Linked DNA regions of Anolis sagrei. The protein of the gene in region 1 interacts with the protein of each later gene in a biochemical or structural test. Links are inferred from orthologs where the notes say so. Each region holds a gene or a part of one and is shown in the gene's direction. Other genes may lie near its edges. The genes, in order: CFLAR and DNA-binding death effector domain-containing protein 2.

Region 1 (15,754 bases):
TTTCATCTGTTGTATTCTAGAACTGCAAATTATGAGATACTGTATTCATTTTCTTTATTCTGATGTAGATTATTTTTTTAAATGCTATTTTTATCCTCTTTCAATTACATTTTTGGATATATTATATAGTGGGATGTCTTCTATAATTTGTACATTTTGTGTATCATAAAAATTAAAACAAGATTAAATAAAGCTCCTCCTACTCAAAGCAATCCCATTACAGCTAAGAAGACATGCTCTAAAATGAATTAAAACGGTTGTAAATTGCTCACATCCTAACAAAACATCGATTAACTTACTTACATTCTCTCAATATTTGTAACAACGCTCTGTAATAGAAATTGATTTTGAACTACCATTCTGATGGTTACTTGGCTTTATAGTGGATATATTTCCTGTTGCAGATAGCAGGTCCATGTTGCTCTCCTGTCACTGTAACAACCACAGTCCTACAAATGAAAGTATCTTCACTGCAAGGGGGAACGTGATCACTTTACAGATGAGGGTTTGCAAATGTTGATAGCTACAGGGATCTAGAGATTCCTATGCTGACAACAGGACTCAACAACAGGAGACCTTGTGCCAGACTCAGGGGTCTAAAAATAGACTAGTTATCAGTCAGAGCTAGCTGGAAGAAAAGCTTTCTGCTTTCCGTTTGTTGAATTAATGGATGCAGAATCCATGGATATAGAGGGCCAACTGTACTTTTGATCAACAATCCAGTTATTTTTTATCAGGGAACAAAATCCCACTTCATTTAATTTAATTCCTTCTAAGTAAATATTCATGGACTTGCCATCTACTTTGTCATCTAGATATTTCAATATTTTTCCGTTTTGGTTCCCCCCCCCCCCCCCACGAATTCAAATAATTGATTGGGATGATATGGCTAATATGTTTTAGTTAATAATGTCTATGTATTCCACCTACCATGAGCATTCTACTTGAAGATTAATTGCATATATATATATGCAATTAATGGTCAACACCAAAGTATGTGTATTTTATGAAATAATACTAACCCTCTGGTCAACACCAAAGTATGTGTATGTATGAATGTGTAAATATATATATATACACACGCACACACACACATATATATACACACACACACACACACACACATACATACATACATACACATACTTTGGTGTTGACCAGAGGGTTAGTATTATTTCATAAAATAATAATATTTTAACAGGATTATTTTGTCTCTTTCTACAAGCAAGAAGTGTTCCCAGAGAGAGAGGGAAAAGGCAGGATTGGAAGCCTAAGGAGCCCTTTCCAACTAGACTTTTTATCCTCCTGTTCTGTAGGGTTGCCTACTACCTTTTGCCCAAGGTGTTGGCTCCTGATGATAGTGTGAATATTGCTTATTATTCTTTCAATATATTTTATACTATTTATTGGCACCTTGAAAAGACTGGTATCTTAAAGAGCATCTGTTTCATTCAAAGGAAGGAAGGAAGGAAGGAAGGTAGAATTGAGGCTTCTTTGCTCCATTATGATCTTGAGAATACAATCCTGAGATAATACAGGAATATTTAGGTACAATTAATGGTAGTTGAGAGAGCCCCCTGTGGTGCAGCAGGTTAAACTATTGAGATGTTGAACTTGCTGACCAAAACATCAGCGGTTTGAATCTGGGAAGTGGTGTGATCTCCCGCTGTTAGTCCCAGCCATATGACCTAGGAGGCATCTATGGACAATGCCGGCTCTTCGGCTTAGAAATAGAGATGAGCACCACACCCTGGAGTCGGACACATCTAGACTTAATGTCAAGGGGAAACCTTTACCTTTACTTAACAGTAGTTGCTCTATTTTTACCTATCAAACCTATTTCAGTATATCTTCAGACAATATATATTTTGTCTGTAGTTATAACACATTGCAATTACTATAATAATATATAAATAACCCTTCCAAAAATATTTAGCAGATATCCTGTAGGGATTGACTTTTCATAGCAACTTTGTTTTCCAGCTCCATTAATGTTTTGCATTATTAGATAATATCCATGGACCTACATACTAATTTATTTACAATAAATATAATGGACTACACATATAGCTTTGGGATAGAGCTGTTTTCTGCCAGACAGCTGTGGCATGGTTTTGAATTTTGCAGAAAAACATGGGGGTTTGCCAGCATTGTCATTATTTGTTAGGAAGCTTTTATGATAATCGCTTTCCCAGGAGGAAGACTTTAAAGCACAATTCAGTACACCATGACCGCAGTTATGCCTGCTTTTAGGCCACTGTGGGACAACTTATGTAACTGTCATGCTGTATAGGAAACTGAAGTTCTTATTGTGTGAAATACAGTACATGCAAACTGAACAACAAGGGGATCAATATATGCAAAGCCTACATTATTTCTATGATCAGGTTTTATTTCTTTTCAATAATAAATCCTTATTACAAAAAGTAGAGAAATGTGATCACAAGATGGTCTGTTGTACAAACACGAGAACACAATTGCAGAAGAGAAATTACATAACAGATGTTTATAAAACAATGGCAAGAGAACAAATGTTCTTTTCTCACAGTTATCTAACTTGACGTTACCTAATGAAGGACCCATGCAGAGCGTCAAAATTGCTGTGTGTGTTTATCCCAGAGACAAACAGATTATAGGGAGAGATGACAGCAGTCTTCAAATATCTGAAGTGTTATGATGCAGAAGAATCAAAAGCTGGATTGTTATCCATTAGGGATTCTATAGTTGCATTCATGACTATGAATCATGAGCCATGGCTCTACTGGAACATACAGCGTGCCTATATTGCCTTTTCATTTTACCCTGTAATAACATCTTATGAATTTTCTTGGAATGATGCCCCACCACACTTTGGATTTCAGGAAATGATTCCCAAAATTATCATAATCCTTTCACAATGAACCAGGAGACTCGAGGGGAATACACAATGGACTTGCATAAGAACCCCTGGGTCCTTTTCCTGTTTCACCTGATATGATCTAAGTTATCTCTGGGAATGCTTCCTCTTCCAGACCCACCCTAGCAACACCCATTGAGACGGCCATCACTTTATGCACCCTTTATTTATCTGAACTAACTCCATTATATTAGCTGGAGCTAGAATATTAAACCCATAACTGATTTCCCCATCACATTCATTTCTGATCGCGCCCATCTCATGGGTGGATTGATAAACCAACACACTTTTCAAAATAATTAAATGAATATGCAAAACTACAGAAACAACAAAACATACCAACTTCGGAAGATTGGATGATAAAAGTTTTTTAAATGGCTAAATTAGCTTTAGTTCTACAATAAATAAATACACAGAAACTTCAGGAAAAATTGAAACCCTTTATTTAATTTATAAAGAACCAAAGGAAGGTGACCACAGCAGGATTTGTTGACTAAAAATAGTATTAAGAGTATATAGATACATTTTGCACTATTTATATACTTCACGTTCAAGAGATTTTAGAGACTTCAGATAATCAGCTTGTTTACTTACTTACATCCTCGTTGTCCAAGTATGATGGCCTTCAAAGTTCTTGGAAGACACCTGTGCACTCACCACAACAAGTTTTAATGTGTGGAGGTCGGTTATTTGGAACACGCAAGCCTACTCACCACAACAAGGTGGCAATCCATAGAGATTTGTTAGTACTCTTTAACTAGAATACTTTATTTACAAACTTTGTTATTTAAATATTTCAAAACACACATACACAGACACACCCAAATACATAAAGTTTGTGTAGTGTTTAAAAAAGAAGAAAATATGACAATGTAACTTAGTGAATTCTCACCCACACAATATTAATTTACTAACAGATGGAATTTAATTTTTAGATTTCTATGGCAATAATTAAAATTAGATAAAAGACATGTAAAGAACTAGAAGAGAAGATAGGAAGAACATCGGGCAGAATGGGAAGACATGATTACCAGTCTTGATGTTGGATGACAAGAGTGTGTTCTTTTCTGTTATAGAGGATATATTGAATTTTCAAAACTGTAGACAATGTGTATAATAGTACTTGAGATGAAGATATAGATGGAATAATTATAACAAATCTAAGACTTCTCTTCCCCGTCAATTCCTTTCCTCTTCCTCGGTGACATAGAAAAATCTTGATATAGTCCTAATTTACTACCCAGAGCTCTACTACCCTTCTTTTCTCTTGGTGTGATTTTTTTTTTTTAAAAAAAAAAAAGAACACTTGGGGGGAATCAATCACAGTTTATTAAAGTTTGTGGAAAGCAAGCAGTGATGACATCGGACGGAGTCCTGGATCACTCAGGAACAGATCTTAGCCAGACATTTTCTGAGCCTATCAGGGGCCAGTGCAGTAGACTTAAATAGCTGTCAACGATAATAAATATTGTATGTTTATTTATTATTTTATTTACTATATTTATATCCCGCCTTTCTCTACCCTGGGGGATTCAAGGCGGCTTACAGATAGACAATCATTCAATGCCTTAACAAAAATATACAATTAAACATTAAGATCAAGATTAAAATACATTAAAACATTTTAAAAACTTTACAATCACTATAAAACCACGCTATTCACAATCATAATCCAGATCGTTCCGTTACTTATTGCACATAATTCCTGTCCATCTATTACACAATAGTTCTTCCCCGAAGGCTTGATCCCATAGCCACATTTTCACACTCTTTCTGAAGGTCAGGAGGGAGGGGGCTGATCTAACATAGCTGGGGAGAGAGTTCCACAGCTGAGGGGCCACCACTGAGAAGGCCTTGTCTCTCATCCCCACCAGTACCTGCGAAGGGGGCGAGAGCAAGAGCAGGGCCTCCCTGGATGATCTTAATCTCCAAGATGGTTCATAGGGGGAGATCCATTTGGACAGGTAAGCTGGGCCAGAACCATTTAGGACTTTATAGGCTAAAGCCAGTACTTTGAATTGGCAGCCAGTGGAGCTGATGTAACAGGGGAGGGGGGTGCACTCCCTATACATTGCTTCAGTGAGCAATCTGGCTGCTGCCTGCTGGACCATTTGGAGCTTCTGAACAGTCTTCAAAGGCAACCCCATATAGAGCACGTTGCAGTAATCTATTCAAGATGTAACCAGAGCATGAACCACTGTGACCAAGTCTGACTTCCCAAGGTATGGGCACACCTGGCGCACAAGTTTTAATTGTGTGAATGCTCCGTTGGCCATCACCAAAACCTGGGGTTCCAGGCTCAGCAATGAATCCAGGAGAATTCCTAAGCTATGAACCCATGTCTTAATTGGGGAGATGGTGGTGGGATATTAAATAAAGTTGTTTATTATTATTATTATTATTCAGAGAGACTGTAACCCCATCCAATACAGGCTGTAACCCTATAACCTGTTCGGCTTTCCAACTGACCAGGAGTACCTCTGTCTTGTCTGGATTCAATTTCAATTTGTTTGTCCTCATCCAGACTGTCACAGGATCGGGACCTGAACAGCCTCCTTCACAGCAGGTGGAAAGGAGTTACAGAATTGAACGTCATCTGTGTACATATGACGTCCAACTCCAAAACTCCGGATGTTTGTATTGAGATATGTCAGTTCTTTGCAGTGCTGTCTTTGCTGACATCTTCTCTGGCCACTGAGAATAAAGCTTTTGACTTTGCCTTCAGCCCATCTGTGTCTTATCTGATTCTTTGGAAGCTTGGCACTCCGGGCCCCAAACCTGTGGTTTTAGTGGAGCTGAAATCACATAACACAGTTAAGTTAAAACAAATAATATGAAGTAAAAGTGACATGAGTTTAGCTGGAGACAGCTGCTTTATGTCTCAGAGCTTACCATTTCAATTTGTTAAGTGATCATCTGGACTTCGGACTAGGGAAATGGTTAATTATTTCTTATGTGTGTAAATATTTGCAATTAAGGTTGGAATGTTTGAGCAAGCAACATGGAGGAACCAAATTGCAATTAGCAGTTAAAGACTGTGTATGTGTGTGTGTGTGTGTATGTGTGTGTGTATGTATATGTGTGTTTGTGTGTGTGTGTTGATATTATTACAGTTTGAATCTTATTAAATGATTAGCAGTCCCCTGCCACGTGTTGCTGTGGCCTAGTCTGGTGATCTGGAAAATAAAGTAATGAGAAAGTGTTGGTTTCTAATATATGTAATTTCTTTATGCTTGTCGGTAAACAGTATTTGATTACGTTTTCTTGCCCTGGTGAAGGGACTTGGACTGGATGGCCTTAAGTATTTTCTATTGGTCATAGGGGTTGTGTTTGGGAAGTTTGCCCCAATTCTATCATTCAACAGGTTCAGAATGCTCTTTGATTGTAGGTGAATTATAAATCCTAGTAACTACAACTCCCAAATGTCAAGGTCTATTTCCCCCAAGCTCCATCTGTGTTCCTAGTTGGGCATATGGAATATCTGTGCCAAGTTTGGTCCAGATCCATCATTGTTTGGGTCCACGGTGCTTTCTGGATGTAGGTGTACTACAACTCCCAAACTCAAGGTCAATGCCCACCAAACCCTTCAAGTATTTTCTGTTGGTCATGGGAGTCCTGTGTGCCACATTTTGTTCAACTCCAAAATTGGTGGAGTTCAGAGTGCTCTTTGATTGTAGGTTAACTATAAATCCCAGCAACTATAACTCCCAAATTACAAACTCAATTTTTTGAATGATGATCACTCCTTGGGTTAGTAGGTGTTTTGTGGCCAAATTTGGTGGCAATTTGTCCAGTGATTTTTGAGTTATGTTAATCTCACAAACGAACATTACATTTTTATTTATATAGATGACTTATATTACAATATACATATGCCTTATATTACATAAATGGAATATATGTTTAGAAAGCAAAAGGTTTGTCTCATGTCTTTAAACACAAACAAAAATAGAATATAACTTTCAAACCACATACATGGCTATTTTATTACTACCCCCAATTATTTTTTCCATCCTTTCCTGTCTTTTCGCTACCCTCACTTTTTTAATATGCATTTTATGTTTACTTTATTTGGAAATGTTAAATCAAAAAAATATTTGGAAACATGTATCAATTATTTTGGATGCAGCAAAGCAAAGACATGAAAACTACTTGCTTGGAATTTGTACTGGAAGACGAAGAGATTCCCAGAAAGGCCATCCTGCTTAATTCTGACCAGACAGTTTGAAACCACTTTGGACTGCCATGACTAAGTTGATTTTTTTCTCTAGTGTGATGAAGATTGCTGTTGTTGTTCATTCGTTCAGTTGTTTCCAACTCTTCGTGACCTCATGGACCAGCCTGCGCGATAGTTCCCTGTCGGCTGTCACCACCCCCAGCTCACTTCAAGTGATGCCATCCGCAGGGATACCAAGGTGCTTGTTTATAAAGCTATTGTCCTCCCAACCCTGCTATACGCTTGCGAGACGTGGACAGTCTACAGATGTCACATGCAACTCCTGGAATGATTCCATCAGCGTTGCCTCTGGAAAATCCTGCAAATCTCTTGGGAAGACAAGCATACAAATGTCAGCGTGCTGGAAGATGCAAAGACCACTAGCATTGAAGCGATGGTCCTCCGCCATCAGCTCCGCTGGACCGGCCACGTTGTCCAGATGCCCGACCACCGTCTCCCAAAGCAGTTGCTCTTCTCTGAACTCAAGAATGGAAAAGGGAAAGTTGGTGGGCAGGAAAAGAGATTGAAAGATGGGCTCAAAGCCAACCTTAAATCCTCTGGCATAGACACTGAGAACTGAAGCTCTGGCCCTTGAGCGCTCCAGCTGGAGGTCAGCTGTGACCAGCAGTGCTGTAGAATTTGAAGAGGCATGAATGAAGGGCGAAAGAGAGAAACGTGCCAGGAGGAAGACGCGTGAAGCCAACCCTGACCGGGACCGCCTTCCACCTGGAAACCAATGCCCTCACTGTGGGAGAAGATGCAGATCAAGAATAGGGCTCCACAATCACCTACGAACCCACTGCCAGGACACTGACCTTGGAGGACCATCATCCTCGGACTATGAGGGATTGCCTAAGTAAGTAAAGCCATCCATCCATCTTGCCCTTGGTTGGCCCCTCCTCCTTTTTCCTTCCATTTTCCCCAGCATCATTGTCTTCTCCAAGCTTTCCTGTCTTCTCATTATGTGGCCAAGTACTTCATCTTTGTCTCTAGTATCCTTCCCTCCAATGAGCACTCGGGCTGTATTTCCTGAAGACTGGTTGGATCTTCTCGCTGTCCAAGGCACTCTTAGGATTTTCCTCCAAAACCACAGTTCAAAAGCATCTATCTTCCTTCGCTCAGCCTTCCCTAAGGTCCAGCTCTCACATCTGTAGGTGACTATGTGGAATATCATTGCTTTAACAATGCGGATCTTGGTTGCCATTGGTTAACAATGCGGATCTTGGTGATGTCTCTAATCTTTACTATTTTATCGAGATTGGTCATTGCTCTCCTCCCAAGATTTCCTGGCTGCAGTCTGCGTCTGCAGTAATCTCTGCACCTAGAAATACAAAGTCTGTCATGGCCTCCACGTTTGTGATGAAGATCCTGCCTGGAAAACTCACAGCAACCCAGTGCATCTTCTATTCACACTGTAGAGCAGCGTTTCTCAACCTGGGGGCCGGGACCCCCATGGGGGTCACGAGGGGGTGTCAGAGGGGTTGCCAAAGACTATCAGAAAACATAATATTTTCTGTTGGTCATGCGGGTTCTGTGTGGAAAATTTGGTCTAATTCTATTGTTGGTGGGGTTCAGAATGCTATTTTGTTGTGGGTAAACTATAAATCCCAACCACTACAACTCCCAAATGGCAAGGTCTATTTTCTCCAAACTTTACCAGTGTTCACATTTGGGCATATTGAGTATTTGTACCAAGTTTGATCCAGATCCATCATTGTTTGAGTCCACAATGTTCTCTGGATGTAGATGAACAATAAATCCAAAACTCAAGGTCACTGCCCACTAAACCCTTCCAGTATTTTCTGTTGGTCATGGGAGTTCTTTGTGTCAAGTTTGACTCAATTCCATTGCTGGTAGAATTCAAAATGCTCTTTGATTGTAGGTGGACTATAAATCCCAGCAACTACAACTCCCAAATGACAAAATCAGTCCCTCCTCAACCCCACCAGTATTAAAATTTGGGTATATTGGATATTTGTGCCAAATTTGGTCCAGTGAATGAAAATACATCCTGCATACCAGATATTTACATTATGATTCATAACAGCAGCGAAATGATAGTTATGAATTAGCAACAAAAATAATTTTATGGTTGGGGGTCACCATAACATGAGGAAGTGTATTAAGGGGTCGTGGCATTAGGAAGGTTGAGAACCACTGACCTAGAGCTTCTATTCAACCATCTCAAAGCTCCCTGCTTGAGCAGTAATGGCACGATCATCAGTACTGAAGAGTGTAGAAGGCGGGCGCCCCTTGTGGCTAGTGGCGGAATTGCATCCCCTCTTTGCAGCTCTCTCCTCCTCCTCCTCCTCCTCCTCCTCCTCCTCCTCCTCCTCCCCTTCTTCCTCGTCCAGGCCTCTTTCTCGGAAAGCGAAAGCCTCCCTCCCGCGTCACTGGCCAAACTGCGAGGGGTGCTGCCATCTTGAGAGGGACGATCGGGTTGCCTGTGAGTAGCAGCTGATTCTCTAGAAGGAGAGAGAGAGGGAGAGAGAGGGAGAGAAAGAAGGAACGAGGGGAAGGAGGAGAGGATCAAGCGGATGTGTGTGTGTGTGTGTGTCCTTCCTTCCTCCTTCATGGGAAGAGAGCGGGGCGAAAGAACAGATCGAGCCCCTCCTTTTTGATCCTTCGAAGAAAGGCACTTTATTTTCAAACTGGAGTGACTCAACATTGTTGCACTTTGACCCCAGTTCGAACTGCCAGGCGATCGCCTTGGCGAGGCACAGGCGATCTTTGGCAGAGAAGGCTCCAGGCTTTGTCAAACTACAGTTCCCAGCATTGACTTCCGGGGAGAGCGGCCTCCACATTGTTTTGCGGAACAACACCACGGATCCTGGGAGATGTAGTTTTTCCAAATTCAGTGCCTTTTCTCTTTACTCCCAGGAATTCACAGCAGTGAGCCCTGGCAATTCAAGTGTGGCCAAACTGTGTCAAGACTATTGATTGACATTATTAAATACATTAATAATTACAATTATTAATAATCTATTAATGCCACATTAATGAACATTATTAGTTATTGATACATTAGAATCATAGAGTTGGAAGAGGCCTCATGGAAGAGGCATCCAGTCCAACCCCCTGCCAAAAAGCAGGAATATTGCATTAAAAGCACCCCCGACAGATGGCCATCCAGCCATCCAAAGAAGGAGCCTCCACTGCATTCCGGGGCAGAGAGTTCCACAGCTGAATGGCTCTCACAGTAGAATCATAGAGTTGGATGAACCCTCATGGGCCATCCAGTCCAACCCCCTGCCCTTAAAAGACTCCAAAGAAGGAGCCTCCACCACACTCAGGGGCAGAGAGTTCCACTGCTGAACGGCTCTCACAGTAGAATCATAGAGTTGGATGAGCCCTCATGGGCCATCCAGTCTAACCCCCTGCCAAAAAGCAGGAATATGGCATTCAAAGCACCCCTGACAGATGGCCATCCAGCCTCCCCTTAAAAGACTCCAAAGAAGGAGCCTCCACCACCCTCCAGGGCAGAGAGTTCCACTGCTGAACGGCTCTCACAGTAGAATCATAGAGTTGGAAGAGACTTCATGGGCCATCCAGTCTAACCCCCTGCCAAAAAGCAGGAATATGGCATTCAAAGCACCCCTGACAGATGGCCATCCAGCCTCCCCTTAAAAGACTCCAAAGAAGGAGCCTCCACCACCCTCCAGGGCAGAGAGTTCCACTGCTGAACGGCTCTCACAGTAGAATCATAGAGTTGGAAGAGACCTCATGGGCCATCCAGTCTAACCCCCTGCCAAAAAGCAGGAATATGGCATTCAAAGCACCCCTGACAGATGGCCATCCAGCCTCCCCTTAAAAGACTCCAAAGAAGGAGCCTCCACCACCCTCCAGGGCAGAGAGTTCCACTGCTGAAGGGCTCTCACAGTAGAATCATAGAGTTGGAAGAGACCTCATGGGCCATCCAGTCTAACCCCCTGCCAAAAAGCAGGAATATGGCATTCAAAGCACCCCTGACAGATGGCCATCCAGCCTCCCCTTAAAACACTCCAAAGAAGGAGCCTCCACCACCCTCCAGGGCAGAGAGTTCCACTGCTGAACGGCTCTCACAGTAGAATCATAGAGTTGGAAGAGACCTCATGGGCCATCCAGTCCAACCCCTTTCTGCCAGAAAGCAGGAATATTGCATTCAAAGTACCCCTGACAGATGGCCATCCAGCCCCTGTTTAAAAGCTTCCAAAGAAGGAGCCTCCAACACTCTCCGGGGCAGAGAGTTCCACTGCTGAACGGCTCTCACAGTCAGGAAGTTCTTCCTCATGTTCAGATGGAATCTCTTTTAATATTAATAATTACAAGTAATAATCTATTAATTCTTCGTTATTAGTTTATTAGTTATTAATACATTATTAATCTTTAATCTTATATAAATAAAAATATAATGTTCATTTGTGGGATTAACATAACTCAAAAACCACTGGACGAATTGACACCAAATGCGGACAGAAGACACCTATCAGGCCAATGAGTGACCATCACTCATAAAAACACTGCAAAACACAGCAGAAGAGATTTAAAAAGCCAAAAAAAGAAAAAAATACATTACAACGCATGCGCAAAACCACACACACATATATACACAAAAATATGCACAAACAAAACACATATACACAGACTAGGCCACAGCAACACGTGGCAGGGGACGGCTAGTTATTAATACTACAACAATGCTTGTCTTGCTTCAGTGCAAAAAGGGCTCAGCTCAGCGGCCCCTTTAAGGCGCAACTTATTTTGGAAAGACTTTTCCGGCACGCGGAAGTGGCTTCCCGAGGAGGGCAAGAAGCTGCGCGCGCATCCAAGCACGCGCGGGCGGGGCTTTTGTTGTGGTTTCCCTCGCGCCGTGTTGTTTCCTCATTGTGGAGTTCTTAGTCAAAGGCGTTTTGTGGTCGCTGAGATCACGAGGGAAACTGAGTTGTTTTCCGTCTCTCTCTGAGGGAAAAAAACAGCCCTAAAGGACAAAAAGGGAGGCTTTTAAGGCGTGGGAGGTGAGACTAGGCCTGGTCACGCAGTTTCCCAGTCACAGCTGTGAATTCAAAGACAGCCATCTTATTTTTAGCACTTTGGCCCTATCTCCACTGCTATATACAATCCAGATTATCTGCTTAGAACAGGATTCTACTGCAGTGTAAACTCATAATCCAGTTCAGTGGTTCTCAGCTTGTGGGTCCCCAGATGTTTTAGCCTTCAACTCCCAGAAATCCTAACAGCTGGTAAACTGGCTAGGATTTCTGAGAGTTGTAGGCCAAAAACATCTGGGGACCCCAGGTTGAGAACCACTGGATTATCTGATTTTATTTATTTATTTACATCACTTATATCCCGCCCATATCAGCCCGCAGGCGACAATACAAAAGCAAAAACAATTAAGTGCATTTAGACAAAAAAGAGTGCAATAACAATTTAAAAAGAGCTATATCTTCTCATTCCAATCCTCGTCCATTTCATCGTCTTGGCCGTTCCTGGGTCATTCTCCATCTCAAGCTTGACTTATCTATTCCGGGGTTCCGAATGCCTGCTCAAAGAGACAGCTTTTCACTCTCTTACAAAAGGTCAGGAGGGAGGGGGCTGATCTAATATCCCTAGGCAGGGAGTTCCACAGCCGAGGGGCCACCACAGAGAAGGCCCTGTCTCTCGTCCCCGCCAAGCGTGCTTGCGAAGCAGACGGGATCGAGAGCAGGGCCTCCTCAGATGATCTTAACTTCCTGGAGGGTTCGTAGGAAGAGATGCGTTCGGATAGGTAGGCTGGGCCAGAACCGTTTAGGGCTTTATAGGCTAAAGCCAGCAAACTGGCAGCCAGTGGAGCTGGCGCAGCAGAGGAGTTGTGTGCTCCCTGAGCGCCGCTCCTGTTAGCAACCTGGCTGCTGCACGCTGGATTATATAGCAGGTTAGTTAGAAAGGGCCTGAGACATGTTGGGAAACACTGCATTTAATGCAGTTTGACCCCCTCTTGAACTGCCAGGGTTCAGTGCTATGGAATCCTGGGAGCTGTCGTTTTACAAGGTCTTTTTGCCTTCTCTGTCAAAGAGTGCTGTTTGTGTGTGTCAGATGTGGATTGAGAATATACTACAAGTCAGAATTTGCTGTCCGCAAGGATGTTGCCCAAGGGACTCCTGGATGTGTTACCATTCTGAAGGAGGCAACCATTTTGGAGGAGGCTTCTCTCATGTCCCCGGATGAGAAGATGGAGCTGACAGACAGGAAATCACCCTTTCGACAGATCTGAACCGTCAACCTTCAGATCAGCAGTTCAGCTGGCACAAGCGTTTAACCCAGTGGTTCTCAACCTGTGGGTCCCCAGATGTTTTGGTCTTCAACTCCCAGAAATCCTAACATCTAGTAAACTGGCTGGGATTTCTGGGAGTTGTAGGCCAAAACACCTGGGGACCCACAGGTTGAGAACCACTGGTTTAACCTATTGCGCCATCACGGCTCCTCACTCCCATGATTCCATACCATTGAGTCATGGCAGTTAGTGGGGTCAGATTGCATTCATTCTACAGCAGGCATGGACGAATTTTGGCCCTTCAGGTGTTTTCGACTTCAACTCACACAATTCCTAACAGCTAGTAGGGAAAAGAATAATTCAGGCAGAAGATTAAACATCTGGAAAGCTGCGAGAATTCTTGAAAAATGGGAGAAAAATATAATATTTAATTTAAAAAACTCCCTGTGGAATGGACTGGGAGCCAAACCTTTCCCCCTTTTTCCCATCTTTATCAACCCACCCTATCCCCCAACCCACCCACCCCCCCAGTTCCCAGCAATCCCCCATCCCCTCTTTTACGTATAACTGTAAAATTCTTGAAATAAAGATAATTAATTAAAAAAAGGAATTGTGGAATTGAAGTCCAAAACACCCAGAGGGGTTTGCCCATGCCTGTTCTACAGTGTAGGGCCGTGCTAGACAGGCCCTATATCCCAGGATCTGATCCCAGGTTTTCTGCTTTAAATTGGATTATATGAGTCCACACCGCCAGATAATCTGGGATAAACAGAAAACCTGGGATCAAATCCTGGTGTATAAGGCCTGTCTGGAAGCGCCTGTAGATGCACTCTGTCTCATTGTGAGTCACAATGAGTTACTTCCCATTAAGGTTTTTCTTGAGAGTTTCCCTGACGGGGATAATGATAAATCCCAGCCATGGCCTCATCACTATGTAACCATATTTGAATTTTTTTTCTGTTCCTGGTTTGAAAGTGTTATTTCCTGTTTAATTGTTCCATACTTATTTTGAAAGTAGTTGTTCTACTCCAGAAACTTCGTTTTGTGTCTGCCACAAAGTAGATTGGATTGGTTGAGATTCAGTGAGATATTCATTGAAAAACTAAAGGAAAAACTATAACAGGATCTGGGTTGTTGTAGGTTTTCCGGGCTATATGGCCATGTTCTAGAGGCATTTTCTCCTGACATTTCGCCTGCATCTATGGCAGGCATCCTCAGAGGTAGTGAGGTAGTGAAAGCCTTCAACTATACATATAACAGGATCTCGCAAAAAACATTTTTTTTGCAGTGTAATAAACTTTTGCCATGTTTTTAAATGATTGAACCAATTAGAAAATGACCTTTATAACACAGGAACAAAAATCATGTTACGTAGTACTATCAGCAGAAGGGAGGAAATAAGTGGAAAACCCCAGCAAGGATCTTTTCTTTTGTTCCCTTTTTCTTGTGGGTGCCACTTGAAAGAAAGAGGAGGAGGAGGAGGAACAGCAGTTTCAGGAAATTAAAAACAAACAAACAGATTCTTGTTTACACATGGAAACCAGGAAACTGAGCAGCTCCTTCCTCTTTGAAAATGAAGGCTTGCTGCTTTAACATAAAAGGGGGTCCTAACGCATCTAGGCTTCAAGGGAGCCATTTAGGGTTTTTAAAAAGATTATATTATTTACCAATCTGTCTTGAAAGCAAATTACTTGGCAAGTCAGAGATTGCTGGCTCTACACTGTAGAATGGATGTGGTTTGACCCCACTTTTAAGTGCCATGACCCAGTGCTATGGTCTCCTAGGAGTTGTTAGTTTGGTGAGGCAACAGCACTCTTTGGGAAAACTACTAGGGCTGGGCAACCACGGAAAAATTTGTTTCTAAAACCGATTCGTTTTTTGGGGGGGTTTGCGTTTCGATTTTTAAAAGAATTCCGAAATTTTTCTTTTAAAAAGTTCGATATTTACGAAATTTCGTAAAATTGCAAAACAATACGAAACAATTACAAAACAATTACGAATCGATTCGTTAATGGCGGATGCGACCGCGCAATACGCTAAAAAACCTCCAAATGGGACAGGGGGAACTTCTGAAGCTTCCCTCTCCCTCTGTTGTTGACTGTTGGTGTGATATTTATAATTTTTTTTTCACTGATTAAACAAACAACAACTATAAAACTTGCCCCAGACATGCGGAAATAATAACGAAACAATTTCAAAACGATAACGAAACGAATACAAAACGAATTCGAAACAATTACGAAACGAATTTAAAAATTCGTTTCGTTTTTTAGTTGCTCCTGAATGGTTCGTTATCGCTTCGTTATAAAAAAAATAACGAATTTTTAACGAATTACGAAATTACGAAATGAAACCGCCCAGCCCTAAAAACTACAACTCTCATGATTTCATAGCATTGAGTGGTTGCAAA
Region 2 (15,350 bases), on another chromosome or scaffold:
GGGCAGGGGAAGGGCAGGCTCGCCTGGTGCAGGGCCAGCTGGTAAGGGCGGGCGAAGGTGGCCCCGCAGTCCTGGCAGGTGTGGGGGCCCTGGCGGGCGGGCACGAGGTGCAGGAGGCGGTGCTGGCGCAGGTTGGAGGACTGGGTGAAGCGCTTGCCGCACACCTGGCACTGGTAGGGGCGCTCCCCGGTGTGGGTGATGTGGTGCCGCGCCAGGTTGGCCTGCGAGACGAAGGTCTTTCCGCACTCGGAGCACTGGAAGGGCCGCTCCCCGGTGTGGGTGCGCAGGTGGTTCCGCACGTGCACCAGCTTCTTGAACTTCTTGCTGCACATGGGGCACTTGTGCTTGCGCTCCAGGACGTGCACCACCCGCTTGTGGCGCACCATCCGGAGGTAGGTGGAGAAGCCCTTGCCACACTGCGGGCACAGGAAGCCCGCCCCGCTGCCCTCTGCTCCCGGCCCCTTCTTTGGGGAGGAAGTGGAGGAGGGGGGCTTGGGGGAGGAAGAGGACCCTCCACCACTGTTGCTGCCACCGTTGACCACCGTCTCCCCATCGCTCGGGACTGGCTCCAGGGTCTGCCTGCCGAGCCCCGGCTTCACGTTCCCTCGGGCGGGGGGCACCCCGCTCTTGCCCGCGTGTGTGCGCCGGTGGTACAGGAACTTGGTCATGTTGCTGAAGGCCTTGCCACAGTGGCAGCGGTGCAGGGGGTTGGCGGTGTGGTTCTTGCGGTGCGTGACGAGCGTCATCTCGGTGGAGAAGCCCAGGCCGCAGTCCACGCAGAGGTAGAGCGCCTCCCCCTTGTGCACCCGCATGTGCTGCTCCAGGGAGGCCGCCTTCTTGAAGATCTTGTTGCAGTTGGGGCACTCGTAGGTGCCGTCCATGTGCGCCCGCTGGTGCGCCAGCAGCCGCTTGGCCGTGGTGAAGCCGCGCTGGCACTCCCCACAGAGGAACTCCTCCGGCTGGCTCCGCGCATGATGCTCCAGCCGGTGCTGCTCCAGGGCTTCCGCTGAGGCAAAGGCCTGCTTGCATTCACCACAGCTGAGCGCCTTCGTGGAGGGCGATGCGGGCAGGGGGGCGTCTTCTTCAGGACCCCGCAATGGAGATGTCCGGGGGCTGGCCGCTTCTTGAACCGCCGCTGCCGCCACCGTGCCTTCAGGGGGCTCTGCGCTCTCCTTCTCGATCTCCGTGAAATGCTCTCCCTGATGCTCAAGCAGCTCCTCGGGAGTCAGGAAGAGGCCGGCGCACTCGGAGCATTCATAGGGGTGCACCGGCGGGGCAGGCGGAAGGGAGGGCGGGCGGGGAAGGGGAGGCGAGGGGCAGGCCGTTGCGGCCGGCTCTTTCTGGCGGTGCGCCCGGCGGTGGGCCAGCCAGAGTGCGGTGGAGGGGAAGAGCTCCTGGCACTCGTTGCACTGGTAGCGGATCTGCCCCGGGGTGGGCGGGGGCCGGGAGGGGACCTCCCTGGGGTGCACTTCCTGGTGGGCCAGGAGCTCGTCCGGGGAGCCCAGGGCGCAGCCGCACTCCAGGCACTGGAAGCCGCTGCTCTCCTGGGTCGGGGCCACGGCTCCTTCTTCCGCAGGAGGAGGAGTAGGGGTCTCCGGGAGGTGGCTCTGGTGGTGGATCAGCACTGCTTCCAGCGTGTCGTAGAGCAGCCCGCACTCGGAGCACATGTACTGGTGCTGCAGGAAGAGCGACTGGGACAGGTCCTCCGCCATGGCGCCTGGGGAGGGAGGGGGAAGAGCGGGTGAAGAAAGGCTGCCTGCCCCCACCCCAGGCCACCCTTGGTTCACCACTGACTTATTACTCCCCATCATGCTCTCAATATGCCCCCAACACCCACCCACCCACACAGAGGTGGCCCTAGGTAATTTTCAACGGTAAGCAAACAGTATTCAGTGTTGTTGTCTGGAACACCCTCCCCAAAGATCTTAGACAGGCCCCTACACTGGCAGTCTTCAGAAAGAACTTGAAGACCTGGCTGTTCCAATGTGCCTTTCCCGATTAGGAAATCTCCAATACCAAGTCCCAGAAGCACTTTAGTAGAACTATGATTGCGGCACACTGCACTTACCCTAGAATCCTTATATACCACCTGTCACATCAGCACTTTTAATCCTGTGCCCATAACTCTGGCCTGGCCCAGTTTTATAGTGTTTTGATGTATTGTTTATTGCTTGTTGTTTAATATTGCTTTAACTGTTTTTAATTTGCTTTAGGTTTTGTATTGTTATGTTGTGTTTTGAGGCCTTGGCCTTTGTAAGCCGCATCGAGTCCTTCGGGAGATGCTCGCGGGGTACAAATAAAGATAATAATAATAATAATAATAATAATAATAATAATATCCCCCCCCCCCCAACCAATTAGGAGTATAGTGTCTAGGTCCAGGGAAGTCCTGCTCCCCATGCTCTATTCCGCTTTGGTTAGACCACACCTGGAATATTGTGTCCAATTCTGGGCCCCACAATTCAAGAGAGATATTGACTCTAAGCTGGAATGTGTCCAGAGGAGGGCGACTAAAATGATCAAGAGTCTGGAGAACAAGCCCTATGAGGAGTGGCTTAAGGAGCTGGGCATGTTTAGCCTGAAGAAGAGAAGGCTGAGAGGAGATATGATAGCCATGTATAAATATGTGAGAGGAAGCCACAGGGAGGAGGAGGGAGCAAGCTTGTTTTCTGCTTCCCTGGAGACTAGGACGCGGAGCAATGGCTTCAAACAACAAGAGAGAAGATTCCATCTGAACATGAGGAAGGACTTCCTGACTGTGAGAGCCGTTCAGCAGTGGAACTCTCTGCCCTGGAGTGTGGTGGAGGCTCCTTCTTTGGAAGCTTTTAAGCAGAGGCTGGATGGCCATCTGTCAGGGGTGCTTTGAATGCAATATTCCTGCTTCTTGGCAGAATGGGGTTGGACTGGATGATAGCCCAGGAGGTCTCTTTCAACTCTAGGATTCTAGGATTCTATGAATTACTGATATATATTTTCTGTTCGTCATGGGAGTTCTGTGTGCCATATTTGGTTCAGTTCCATCATTGGTGGAGTTCAGAATGCTCTTTGATTGTAGGTGAACTAGACATCCCAGTGACTACCACTCGCATATGTCAAGGTCTATTTTCCCCCAGGAACGCCCCTGGGTTTGACCTTGAGTTTGGAGTTGTAGTTCACCTACACCCAGAGAGCACTGTGGACTCAAACAATGGTGGATATGGACCAAACTTTACATGAACACTCAGTATGCCCAAATGTGAACACTGTGCCCTATTTAGTTCAATTCCATCCTTGGTGGAGTTCAGAATGCTCTTTGGTTGTAGGTGAACTATACATCCCAGTAAGTACAACTCCCAAATATCAAGGTCTGTTTTCCCCCAAGAGCACTTCAAGAGCACCCCTGGGCAAAATCAACTCTACTGTGAGTGCTTACTTTGTATAATGGGTTGAGCCGCCCCTGAATATGCCCCCAACACGCACCCACTCAGAGGCCGGCCTGGCCTCCAGGTTACAGGCCCACTCGCAGGTAGCTGAGTCTCCTGCCCGGGATGCCCAGGGAAGAGGGCCTCTGGGCCTGCTCCCCACCTGCCTGGGACTCTCCTAGAATCCTAGAGTTGGAAGAGACCTCCTGGGCCATCCTCCAGTCCAACCCCATTCTGCCAAGAAGCAGGAATATTGCATTCAAAGCACCCCTGACAGATGGCCATCCAGCCTCTGTTTCAAAGCCTCCAAAGAAGGAGCCTCCACCACACTCCGGGGCAGAGAGTTCCACTGCTGAACGGCTCTCACAGTCAGGAAGTTCTTTCTCATGTTCAGATGGAATCTCGTTTCTTGGCTCTCATGTCTCCTCTCAGCCTTCTCTTCTTCAGGCTAAACATGCCCAGTTCCCTAAGCCGCTCCTCATAGGGCTTGTTCTCCAGACCCTTGATTCTTTGAGTCGCCCTCCTCTGGACACATTCCAACTTGTCAATATCTCTCTTGAATTGTGGTGCCCAGAATTGGTGGAGTTCAGATTGTAGGTGAACTATACATCCCAGTAACTACCACTCGCATATGTCAAGGTCTATTTTCCCCCCAAGAGTGCCTCAAGAGCCCCACTGGGCAAAATCAACTCTACTGCGAATGCTTACTTTGTGTAATGGGTTGAGCCGCCCCTGCGTCCACAGGCCAGCCTGGCCTCCAGGTCCACAGGCCCACTTGCAGGCAGCTGAGTCTCCTGCCTGGGATGCCCAGGGAAGAGGGGCTTTGGGCCTGCTCCCCATCTGCCTGGGACTCTCCTAGAATCCTAGAGTTGGAAGAGACCTCCTGGGCCATCCTCCAGCCCAACCCCATTCTGCCAAGAAGCAGGAATATTGCATTCAAAGCACCCCTGGCAGATGGCCATCCAGCCTCTGCTTCAAAGCTTCCAAAGAAGCCATTGTTCCCTTGCGTCCTAGTCTCCAGGGAAGCCGAAAGGAAGCTTGCTCCCTCCTCCTCCTCTCTGTGGCTTCCTCTCACATATTTACACATGGCTCTCGTCATATCTCCTCTCAGCCTTTTCTTCTTCAGGCTAAACATGCCCAGCTCCTTAAGCCTCTCTTCATAGGGCTTGTTCTCCAGACCCTAGTCTCCAGGGAAGCAGAAAACAAGCTTGCTCCCTCCTCCTCCCTGTGGCTTCCTCTCACATATTTACACATGGCTCTCATCATATCTCCTCTCATCCTTTTCTTCTTCAGGCTAAACATGCCCAGCTCCTTAAGCCGCTCCTCATAGGGCTTGTTCTCCAGACCCTTGATCATTTTAGTCGCCCTCCTCTGGGCAAATTCTCCCAGCTTGTCAATATCTCTCTTGAATTGTGGTGCCCAGAATTGGTGGAGTTCAGAATGCTCTTTGATTGTGGGTGAACTATACATCCCAGTGACTACAACTCGCATATGTCAAGGTCTATTTTCCCCCCAAGAGTGCCTTAAGTGCCCCACTGGGCAAAATCAACTCTACTGCGAATGCTCACTTTGCGTAAGGGCTTGAGCCACCCCTGCATGGGACAGAATGGCAGCAGAAGGCCCACAGGCCCATTTGGAGGCAGCTGAGTTTCCTGCCCGGGATGCCCAGGGAAGAGAGGCTTTGGGCCTGCTCCCCGCCTGCCTGGGACTCTCCTGCGGGGCTCCGGCCCTCCTCCTTGCCTCCCTCGGCCACTCACCTGGGACTCTGGGTCTCCCTGGCAGGCGCAGGCCCTCTCCCACCGCCTGCTTTCCTTCCCTCACGGCCTGGCCAATCAGCGCCCTCGATACTCAAGAGGTGCTTCCGCTCGCCGCAGGCTTGAGACGTCACGGCGGCGCCTTCCTGGGCGGAGCCACCAAGCGGACGGAGGGCGGCACTTCACCCTTGCTCCTTCCCCGCCCCTGGTTACCTAACCCCCGCCGTCTCCTTGACGACGCCCCAGGCGAGGGGAGGGAGGGGCGGAGCTTGTGACGTCTCTTGTTGTTGTCTTCCTCGTCGTCGAGGCCGCGCTGGGGAGGCCCCGCCCCCTCACGTGGGCCGTCCGCGTGAGCGAGCCGAAAGGGAGGGAGGCCGTGGGGCGCATGCGCGGGCTGGACACCTGCGAGACACAAACAGAGGCGCTGCGCATGCGCTAAGGAGGGGCCCTCAGCTGAGGAGAGGCTGGCGCATGCGCAGAAGCGATCCAGGGACCAGAAAGACCAGAAGGACGGCGCAGGGAGGAAGAGGAGGAGGACGCTCATCGTCGAAGGCTCGGTGAGAACGGGGGAGGGGGGCAGAGGGGGGGCAGAGGGAGGGAGGGGGCTCTCTCTTTTCTCCCTCCCTCGAAGGGACGAGGCAGGGGGGCGCCTGGCTTTGAAGGCTTCTCGCCATGGCTGCCCCCCCCCCGCACAAAGAGAGGGAGAAGCGGGCAGGCCGGAGGGGGGGGAGGGGGAGTGAAGGAGGGGCTGAAGTGCCCCCTCTCTATCCCCCTCCCTCGGCTCCGAGGCTCCTTGGTGTGCTGCCCCCTGGCGGCCGGTGCGCGCTTGGCCTCCCGCAAAAGAGGAACTGGGAGGGAGGGAAGGAAGGAAGGAGGGAGGGAGCCTCCTCTTCCGGTTGGGAAGGCCTGGCCGGGAGGAACCTTCCTTCCAAGCCAGAAACACTTGGACTTCAACTCCCAGCATTCCTCACCGCCTCTGGCCCTTCCTTTTCCGCTTAAGCGGAAGGGTCCCGAGGCGGTGAGGAATGCTGGGAGTTGAAGTCCAAAACACAGGGAGGGAGGGAGGGAGGAAGGCCCAAGCTTGCTAGAACGGACGTGGCCCCAACACTCAGCTTCGTGTCACCTCCTCTATTTATTTATTTATTTATTTATTATGTATTTCGTCTACTTCTACCCCGCCCTTCTCGTCTGGAGGGGCCTTGCTCTCGGTCCCACCGCCTGCACAATCACGGCTTGACCGTATCCACCCATTCCGGCACCTTCAGTTTGCCTGATCTGCAACAAGAAGCAAGCAGAAGGGAAGCCCTGGCACTTGGCTCCTGCTTCACAGAATCATTGGGTCATCCAGTCCAACTCCCTTCTGCCCTGCAGGAAAAGCACCATCAACATCCCGACCCGACAGATGGCCTTCCAGCCTCTTTTAGAAAGCCTCCATGGAAGGAGCTTCCACCAGCCTCTGGGGCAGAGAGTTCCGCAGTTGAACCATCAAGACCACTAAGATCGTCTGGAGGGGCCCTGCTCTCAGTCCCACCGCTTGCACAAGCACGGCTGGTGGGGGCGAGGGACAGGGCCTTCTCGATGGTGGCCCCTCGACTTTGGAACTCCCTGCCATTAGAGATCAGAACTGCCCCCTCCCTCATGACGTTCAGGAAACTAACAAAGACCTGGTTGTGGAACGCGGCATTTGACAACTGATTTAATTCTTTGCCCACATGAAAGGAGGATGATGAATGGGATTGTGATGGTGTCGGACGATTTGGCTCTTTTAACTGGGATGATAATGTTTTAATGTGTATGGTGCTGATATTTTAATCGTGTAATGAAGTGACATTGTGTTGTTATTGTATATTCTTTGTATGTTAACACATGTTGTGAGCCGGTCCGGATCCCTCTTTGAAGGTGAGAGGGTCGGTATATAAAACCTCGAAATAAATAATAATAAATAATTCTCAACCCCCGAGGGGGGACTCAGGGCGGCTTACAAAATGGCACAATTTGGTGCCTGCACAAATACAATAACATATAAAAACAGCAATTAAATGGTTAACAATTAAAACAACAATATATCTCACAATCGATAGCCAATCTCAGACACAGCATTCACCAACTCAGAGTCCATACTTCATTCCACATTGTCTATTCCTATCCGTCGTCACAGTCCTTTATTTATCTGCCAGATTGCCTAAACGCCTGGTCCCACGTCCATGTTTTTAATTTCTTTCTGAAGGAAAGGAGGGATGTTGCTGATCTAATGTCCCCGGGGAGTGAATTCCATAGGTGAGGAGCCACCACTGAGAAGGCCCTGCTCCTCGTCCCTGCCAATCTCACTTGTGACAGAGGTGGGGTCGAGAACAGGGCCTCCCCAGAGGATCTCAGACTCCGAGGTGGGACATAGAGGGAGATGCGTTCGGACAGATATGCATCTCTGTCTTGTTCATGCCCAGCATTATTTTTTAACTTAACTACATTTGGCCCAGCCATAGTTCTTAAATGTGTCTTGTGCTACCATTCAATGTTTATGCTAATTGTGTATGAGATTTATTTTAATTGCTTTGTATTAGTAGTTGTATTTTGCTTCGTATTGTGGTTGTATTGCTTGTATTGATGTAAGCCGAGCCCACAATACATGACCTACATGACCACATTTCAGTGTACGAACCCACCCGATCTCTTCATTCATCTAGAGAGGCCCTGCTTACGATCCCACCAGCATCGCAAGTGCTATTGGTGGGGACGAGGGAGAGGGCCTTCTTGGTGGTGGCCCCTCGACTTTGGAACTCTCTCCCTAAGGACATCAGGCAGGCGCCGTCGCTAGCAATCTTTAGGAGGAGCTTGAAAACATGGATGTTCCAGTGTGCCTTTCCAGAATAAAGAAACTCCTAGCATTATGTCCCAACGCACTTTATTCAGAGATCTAAGATATCTGCATGCCCACCCCCCTCCAAACACCCCACCTGTCATGCCCAGCACTTTTAATTTTAATTATTACATTTGGCCCGGCCATTGTTTTTAACTGTGTCACTGCTTGTTGTTAATGTTATTGCTTGTTTTTGTTTTATTTTGCTGTATTATTGTTGTTATTGTTTATTGTTGTATTTTGGGCTCGGCCTTGTGTAAGCCGCATTGAGTCCTTCGGGAGATGGTAGCGGGGTACAAATAAAGGATGATTATTCTTCTTCTTATTATTATTATAAGCCGCACCAAGTCCCTTGGGAGATGGTAGTGGGGTATAAATAAAGTTTTATTATTGTTATTATTATCATTATTATTTATTTTACAGTTATAATAATAATAACAACGACAACAAACAACTTTAATTCTACCTCGCCACTATCTCTCCGAAGGGGACTCAGTGCGGCTTACATGATACAATACAACAGAATAAAATGCAAAAAACAGGCAACAAAAATTATATAAAAATAAAATACATACAGTAGCAAAAGTAAAATAGATAAAGCATATTGACATAGCATTGGACAATGGGCAGGCCAAATGGACGAAGTAAAATGATAAAACCCTGGATGAGGAAGGAATAGAAAATAAAGTGTAATTGAGAGGAGTCCAAAAAGGACGGACACACACATCCCAACGTATTTCTTACATGCCCAAACAGAACTTCCTAACTGTAAGAAAAGCTGTTCAGCAGTGGAACTCTCTGCCTCAGAGTCTGGAGGAAGTTCATCCCTTGGAAGCCTTTAAACATCCGTCAGGGGAGATGGTAGCGGAATATAAATAAAGGTTATTATAATAAATAATAATAAAACTTTATTTATACCCTGCTACCATCTCCCCAACGGCTTACATGAGGCCGAGCCCACAATACATCAATAGAAGCAATAACAATCACAATACAAAACAAAACAATTAAAATAAATCTCATACACAAATAGCATAAACATAAACAAAAACACAATGCACATTTAAAAGACTGGCTGGGCCAAATGTAATTGAAGTTTAAAAAATAATGCTGGGCATAAACAATATAGAGGAGACTACTATTATTATTAGTATTGTGCTTTTCCTGCATGGAAGGGGGTTGGATGATTTGGCCCATGTGGTCTCTTCCAACTGTATGATGCTCTGAAGAGAATTGTCCTCTGGGCGCACGGCCAATGCTTCTAGCCAAAGGGGAGCCCCATTCCAGGCCACGCAGGAGAGGGGGAGGGCACCATGACTTCCCTCCGCTTGCATGCGTGCTTCTTGACACAACCCAGAGCCACACTTCATGATCACGCTGTGGACTAGCGCTCAGCTTGTGGCCTCCTGAGAAGACTCCTTGCTCCCTTTCCAAACACTGACGATCTCCAAGCCCACCTTGTCTCTGTGTTTCATGTCTGTTGCCCAAGTGTCGCACTGCCAGTGGTTTGGAGATCCCTGAGCAGTGCTGTTTCTTCCATTGCAGGCTCTTGTCTGTCTCACCCACTCGAAGCTCCTCCTTCTGCGCAGCGCTTCTGCTCCTTGCCGCGCTTCTCCCCTCCTCCTGCTTGCGCCACCCGCCCCAATGATGTCTGACTTCCGGCGGCCCCTGTTTGCGCACGCCTGGGAGGAGGAGGAGTGCCTGGAGTACTACGGGATGATCCCCCTGCACCGCATGTTCGAAGTGGTGGGGGCCCAGCTGACCCAGAACGACGTGGAGGTGCTCTCCTTCCTGCTGGAGGAGACGCAGCCCTTGCACCACCCCCTGGACCCGGAGCTCTGGGCGGTGGCGGCCTCAGAAGAGGGGGCCGCAGAGACGGCCTCACCCGCCCTGCAGGGCTGGAGGAAGAAGCAGCAGCAGGAGGGGGGCTCAGCCTGGGCGGAAGGCAGCCTCGAGGGGGCCAGGGGGCTGCCCAAAGACGGTGTCCGGCTTCTCCTGGAGCTCGAGCGGAGGGGCAAGTGCGACGAGACCAACTTTGTGCAGCTGCTGCAGCTCCTGCGAGTGCTCACCAGGCACGACCTCCTGCCCTACGTCACTCTGAAAAGGCAGCGGACAGGTATGCAGCCGCGCAGGCAGGAAGGAAATGACTCAACCTTTGACTCGCTTATGACAGTGCTGTCGCTCTTCCTTTAGTGGGTACTTAATTCTAGCTTGCAGGCCAACTTTATCCAAACAGGATGGAGGAATTCCATGACGGGGCTGGCTCCTTTCACAGTTCTGGGTGGGGGTGACACTTACCTCTCCTGCACTTGCTACCTGGGCTTGCTTGCCAGAAAGGTGCTTCTCCCTTTGTTTGACTTGTGTCACTCTTTCCCTAGTTTCTCCTGAGAGATACACTTACGGGCCGTCTGTCCTGTCATCCGACCAGCAGGTGGACAACTGTCTCAATTCAGCCTCTGCAGAGCCTCAGAGTGATCAGTGGGAGGCAGGTGCGTGTTGGACCACCCAGGGAAGGAGCGGCATGCGTTTCTCCCTTTTCCGTCTGCCTTTTCCCCTTCTCTACCCAGTAGTCCCTTTCTGTGAAGCCCCACAAGCAGCCTGTTTGGGTTCTTGTGTCTGTTTGTGGGGGGGACGGCTTCTGCGTTGAGCGCCATGGGGCCAGCCAGGGACCACAGCTCAAGGGAACGTGAGCTGCCATCCCTGGGTCCTGATGCCCCAAGAAACTCCCAGCCTCCCTTCTTCTGTTTCCTCTAGGCTCCAGTTCCAGCAAAAGGAAACGAGTCAGCAGAGGCCGAGCAAAATCTGCTGCTCCCCGCAGGCGTCGGGGAGCCAAAGGGCCTTCTGCTCCCAAGCAGGAGGTCCAAACTCCAACCAAAGTGACTTGTGGTAAGTGTCTGCCTGGCCCGTGCTGTGCTCTTAGGGCTCCCTCGAGTCCTTCCAAATAATACGCCATGAGCATCTTGGTCTCTGTTAAGGGAATGGAGCCCTAAGGGTGACTGGAGCCAAAGTGGGAGGTGGGTGGGGCGGGGGGAGGAGGCGGCCCGGTGCACATCGCTGCCAGGAAAGGCTCCAGTGGCAGGCCAGGGAACGTGGTGGTGGGCTTGCATTGTTAGGTGCAGCTGGACACCACGGGGCTCCAGTCCACTGGGAGCATGGAGATTTTAGTCCCACTCTTTGGGACTAAGTTATCTTCCATTCCTAGTTGAGTTTTACTGGTTTCTATTCCTAGTTGAGTTTACTGGTTTCCTATTTTCAAATGACCACAGTCTATTTATTCCTAAATGGTGAATTTTCTAACTCGCCCATGATGATAGATAACTAAATCAGAAAAAAAATTGTCCCGGGTGTATTGCATGAAACCAGCAGCTTTATGAACATGGGAAAGGGTGCCTTCAGGTTGCTAAACCCTTAGCATCAGTTGCTGGGGAAACTGGGAGCTTTTAATTCAGTGCCCTAAGGTGCTTAAAGAACTGGTCTTGGAGAGAGACGGCCTTCGCTGCTTTGAGGTCCTTTTCTGTGTAAATTGGAGGCGGCTCAAGGCGGTGGGTCTGATCTGGTTCTCTTCTCGCCATCTCCCATTTTTCTGGTTTGGTAATTTCAGATTAAAAATTATTCCCACAATTGAATGGAAGAGAATCCCAATTAAATCAAGAATTCTAAAGAAACGGGTCCTGGGTAGGGAGCATGACAAGGTGTGAAGATGCTCCCTCTGCTTCAGATAAAGATACTTAACTAGAAAAAGACTCAAGTACAAATTGAGCTGCTTTTGAAAAGAGTGATTTGGAGTCATTGTGCCAGGAGCACCATGTGCCACAGCCTTTTCGTGGGTGTTATGCAAGTGGCAATGAAACGTACATATAGATAAGCTGTGGCCATGTGGCTGCAGTATCCCGCCATGTTGCTACTGCACGGTTTTATCACTGGCCCTCTTAAAGAGGATTTTTCTCGCAATTTGGTTCATCATACCAACTTCTGGAACTGGACTTTGTTTAAAGGTCCAAGTCTTTGAAGGATTTTGGTCTGCCTAGTTAAATTATATTCAGATTTCTGCCTCATGTCTGTCTCAAAGACCAGCATCTGTCATTTATTCCTGCATTGCTAGGCCTTTTCAGCCATGTATTTCCTGAACATAGAGAAACTGTGAAATCTGCTTGCAGACTGTCGTGTGGGACGGTCCACACGTGGTTTTTACAGTTTCTTCAACTTGGGGGTGCTTTTTGTTTGCCATGGACTGTATTGGAAGTGGTCCGTGGCGAGGAGGTGGGTGCCCAGGGCCAGCCAATGTGCTGCTTTCTTTGTCTCAGTGCAATGCAAATGAAACCAAAGCGAATACACAAAAACGCTTGTCTTACCGTCTGACCAATTTACAGGCAAAGGGGTTCTAACGAAGAAGGTTCAAAAATAATACAATGAGTGTCAAAACTGCAACTTCAAGGTGCAGCTAAGGCTTCTGCCGGGTAGGTGCAAGGATCAAACTGTAAGCTCCATTCCACACTAGATTGTTGCCTGTATTCCTTGTCCTGTTCCCTTGCTTCCCTGGGGCAGAACCGGAGGCTCGTGGGGCGTAGGCAGCTGCTTTCCCGTCATGGGCTCCACGTCCAGCCACGGCCTTGAGCGGCGGCGGGGAGGGGGCCGGCTCCCATCTGCCTCCCAGAGCGCAATCTCACCCTTCATAAAAGCTAGGCCTTGGCTACTAAGGGGGAAAACGTCCACGTCCACAAATGGTTTTTTGTTGCTGCTTGCTTTCTGCCAATTCTTTCTCAATCCACCATTTAAATTCCAGGTTGCTAAGCAAAAGTTGATGATAAAGAGACTCTGTCTCTCTTGTGCACTCTTCTCACAGAATGGTCTCGCAAAGGTAAATGAATCCACGCACCCAGATTTCCACCACTTCTTTGTGAAGCAAACTGTTTTAACTCTGTGCTGCGTTGCCTCATTCCGGAGCAGGCCCAGGCGCCTTCCTTCCTTCCCCTTCTCTCTCCTGCATGCCGGCCAAGTCCCAAAGGCACGATGGCGCTCCAGAGGTTCCTGGGGGCAGGGGGGCCGCTCCAGACCGGCACGGCGAGGGGCTTGTGCCGCAAACCTCCAGCAGGGCCCCATGGGAGCAGGTGGGGGCACACAGCTCCAAGGAAGGGCCACCAGCGCTGGCCGGGAGCCAGTTGCTCCCTTAGGAGGGCTCCCCTCGGCTGTGCAGGCGGAACTGCTACGACTGCTGCAGATATCAGGCCATGATATGTGTTGGGCTCTTTTCATAATAATCTATACAGCCAGGGGCGGCAGAACCAGGCACTTCAGATGCTGTTGTTCGTTTTCTGCTGGCCAGACAAAGCCTAACTGGCAGATGCCCATCTAAGCAGTTAATACGAGGGGTATTTTTTAAGTAAGGTCCGTTTGAACGAAAGTTTATTTCAAAAAAGTAAATTTATTTTCAGAAAGTACATACTTCACTCTATTTTTCGACATAGTTGCCAAGTTTGTTCAAACACTTATCATACCTCTGAACCAATTTTAAAATACCCTCTTCATAAAAACTTGCCGCCCGCTCCGATAACCAAGAGTTCACTGTAATCAAAGAAGGGCGACCGGAGCGGTCCTCATCATGGACGTTGTCACGGCCATCTTTGAATTGTTATACCCACTTACGCACTTGGCTTTCACTCATCACAGTATCACCGTACACTTCACAAATCTGTCGATGAATTTCTGCAGCAGGCAGGTTCCTTGCTGACAAAAACCGTATCCCTGAGCGAACCTCACATGCAGAGGGTGAGTTGATAGTCTTAAACATTTTAAAAGCACAGAACAGAACCGTACAGGTGGGCTACAGAGCGGAAACTGAGCACAGTTGTTCCCGAGGCATGCCGGTACACGACGCACACGCTCGTTGCGGTATGCACGCGAACTACTAGTGTCTACAACAAAACGGACCTTACTTAAAAAATACCCTTTGTAGTCCTGAGAAGGGCCACCTTTCTTGACCCTAAACACAATAGTCGTGCTGCAATTCCATGTCCAGTAAACCCATGGTGAGGTGGAATACAGCCCTGTGTTGGTCTTGGTGCCACTCCAGGGAGCAGTCTCTCTGCTGCCTCCTCACAGCCCGCCTTTCCATGCGCTCGGTCTGCTATCTGCAGCAGCCAAAACCCAGAAGGAAGACAGGGCAGGGCCTTTGCACCACTTTGTATCTTTCTGCCATATTGAAACGCAGAATGGTTTCTTGAGATGGCCATATGCTGAAAGTCTTGAAACACCTTCCTCTCAGTCTACAGTTGGCATCCATCCCTGGAAAAGCATAAGTATTGGCCCAGGCAAGTGGGCCAAGTACCAGACATGGCAAAAACACCCATACAAACTAAAAACAAAGCCTAAAAGTGCTCCTCATGATTATTGCTTCTGCCTCCTCTCTGCTTCTCTTATTATATTAGAAGAGGCCTTGGGCTCTGGGACTGCTTGCCTTCAGCACAGGGGGCGGGAGGTTATTCTGATGGGTTTTGCTGCTCGGTGAAAGTTAAATCTGTGTATCAAGTGAACGGGGTGGGGCAGAATTGTGCTCTAAAAACCAGAAATTGTGGGTCCCTTTTGTGGAAACTGCTGTTTTAATATCTCATTACTTTTTTGCCAAATCCTCTCATTTTGGTTTGTAAAAAATGCTCAGCCCATGTTACGGGGATTGCATGGATGATGAGGTGACAGGCCTCATTCTCTGGAAACATCCTACTTGTGTTGTAATGCAGTTGAGGTTTCTTTTTGGGGCTTGCTTCTGATTCCAAACTCATGGAAGACCCTCTCACGGGGGGCTTGCTGACCTGTTTTCAGGCTGCAAAGAGGGTGACCGCAGTAGGATTGTTTCACTGGAACTGAGGCCTGGATGTGCATTTGGAGGTGGGGGGTGGGGGGTCAGTGGTCTTTCTACTGCTGCTGTTCTTACCAATGTTGGCCCCATTTCTCATCTGATGTAGCTACTCAAGGCGGGCATGAGTGCTGCCTGGGGAAGGCCACAAAACTGCTTCCCATTTTGTACACAACAGTTGTGCAGAAACCGTTTCCTGACAACCTTCTGGTTGACGTGCTCCCAATGTGTTTTGACACAAACTCCTGCAGCCTTGCCCGATCTTGAGTGGGGAAATGTTTCCAGTTGCTTCAGAGCCACACTGGTGGATGGCACAAGGAGTGCCAGTGTGTTAATGCCAACTCTGGCAGCTGTGGTATCACCACACTGTTGATACAGGAAGGTGGATGAGCTCTTCTGTTCCCTCAAAGCTCATTAGTTAAACCATGGGGGTCAGCTGTCTGTACATGAATTGTATTCAGTGCTAATCAAAGAGGAAGCTCTCAACT

Evidence for each region.
Region 2: the proteins of CFLAR (region 1) and DNA-binding death effector domain-containing protein 2 form a complex in vitro, tested with the Homo sapiens proteins (2 studies listed by BioGRID). The link is inferred for Anolis sagrei from reciprocal best matches to the Homo sapiens genes CFLAR and DEDD2.

The regions. Positions count from the first base shown.
Region 1 is NC_090021.1:164,404,286-164,420,039, forward strand, and holds the start of CFLAR (CASP8 and FADD-like apoptosis regulator), read left to right. Parts: upstream 1-9,437; 5' UTR 9,438-9,558; intron 9,559-15,754. UniProt on the Homo sapiens protein: Apoptosis regulator protein which may function as a crucial link between cell survival and cell death pathways in mammalian cells. Acts as an inhibitor of TNFRSF6 mediated apoptosis.
Region 2 is NC_090034.1:109,158,761-109,174,110, forward strand, and holds the start of DNA-binding death effector domain-containing protein 2, read left to right. Parts: upstream 1-9,540; 5' UTR 9,541-9,656; coding exon 9,657-10,128; intron 10,129-10,390; coding exon 10,391-10,501; intron 10,502-10,766; coding exon 10,767-10,898; intron 10,899-15,350. Other genes in the region: zinc finger protein 574-like, read right to left, coding at 1-1,712. UniProt on the Homo sapiens protein: May play a critical role in death receptor-induced apoptosis and may target CASP8 and CASP10 to the nucleus. May regulate degradation of intermediate filaments during apoptosis.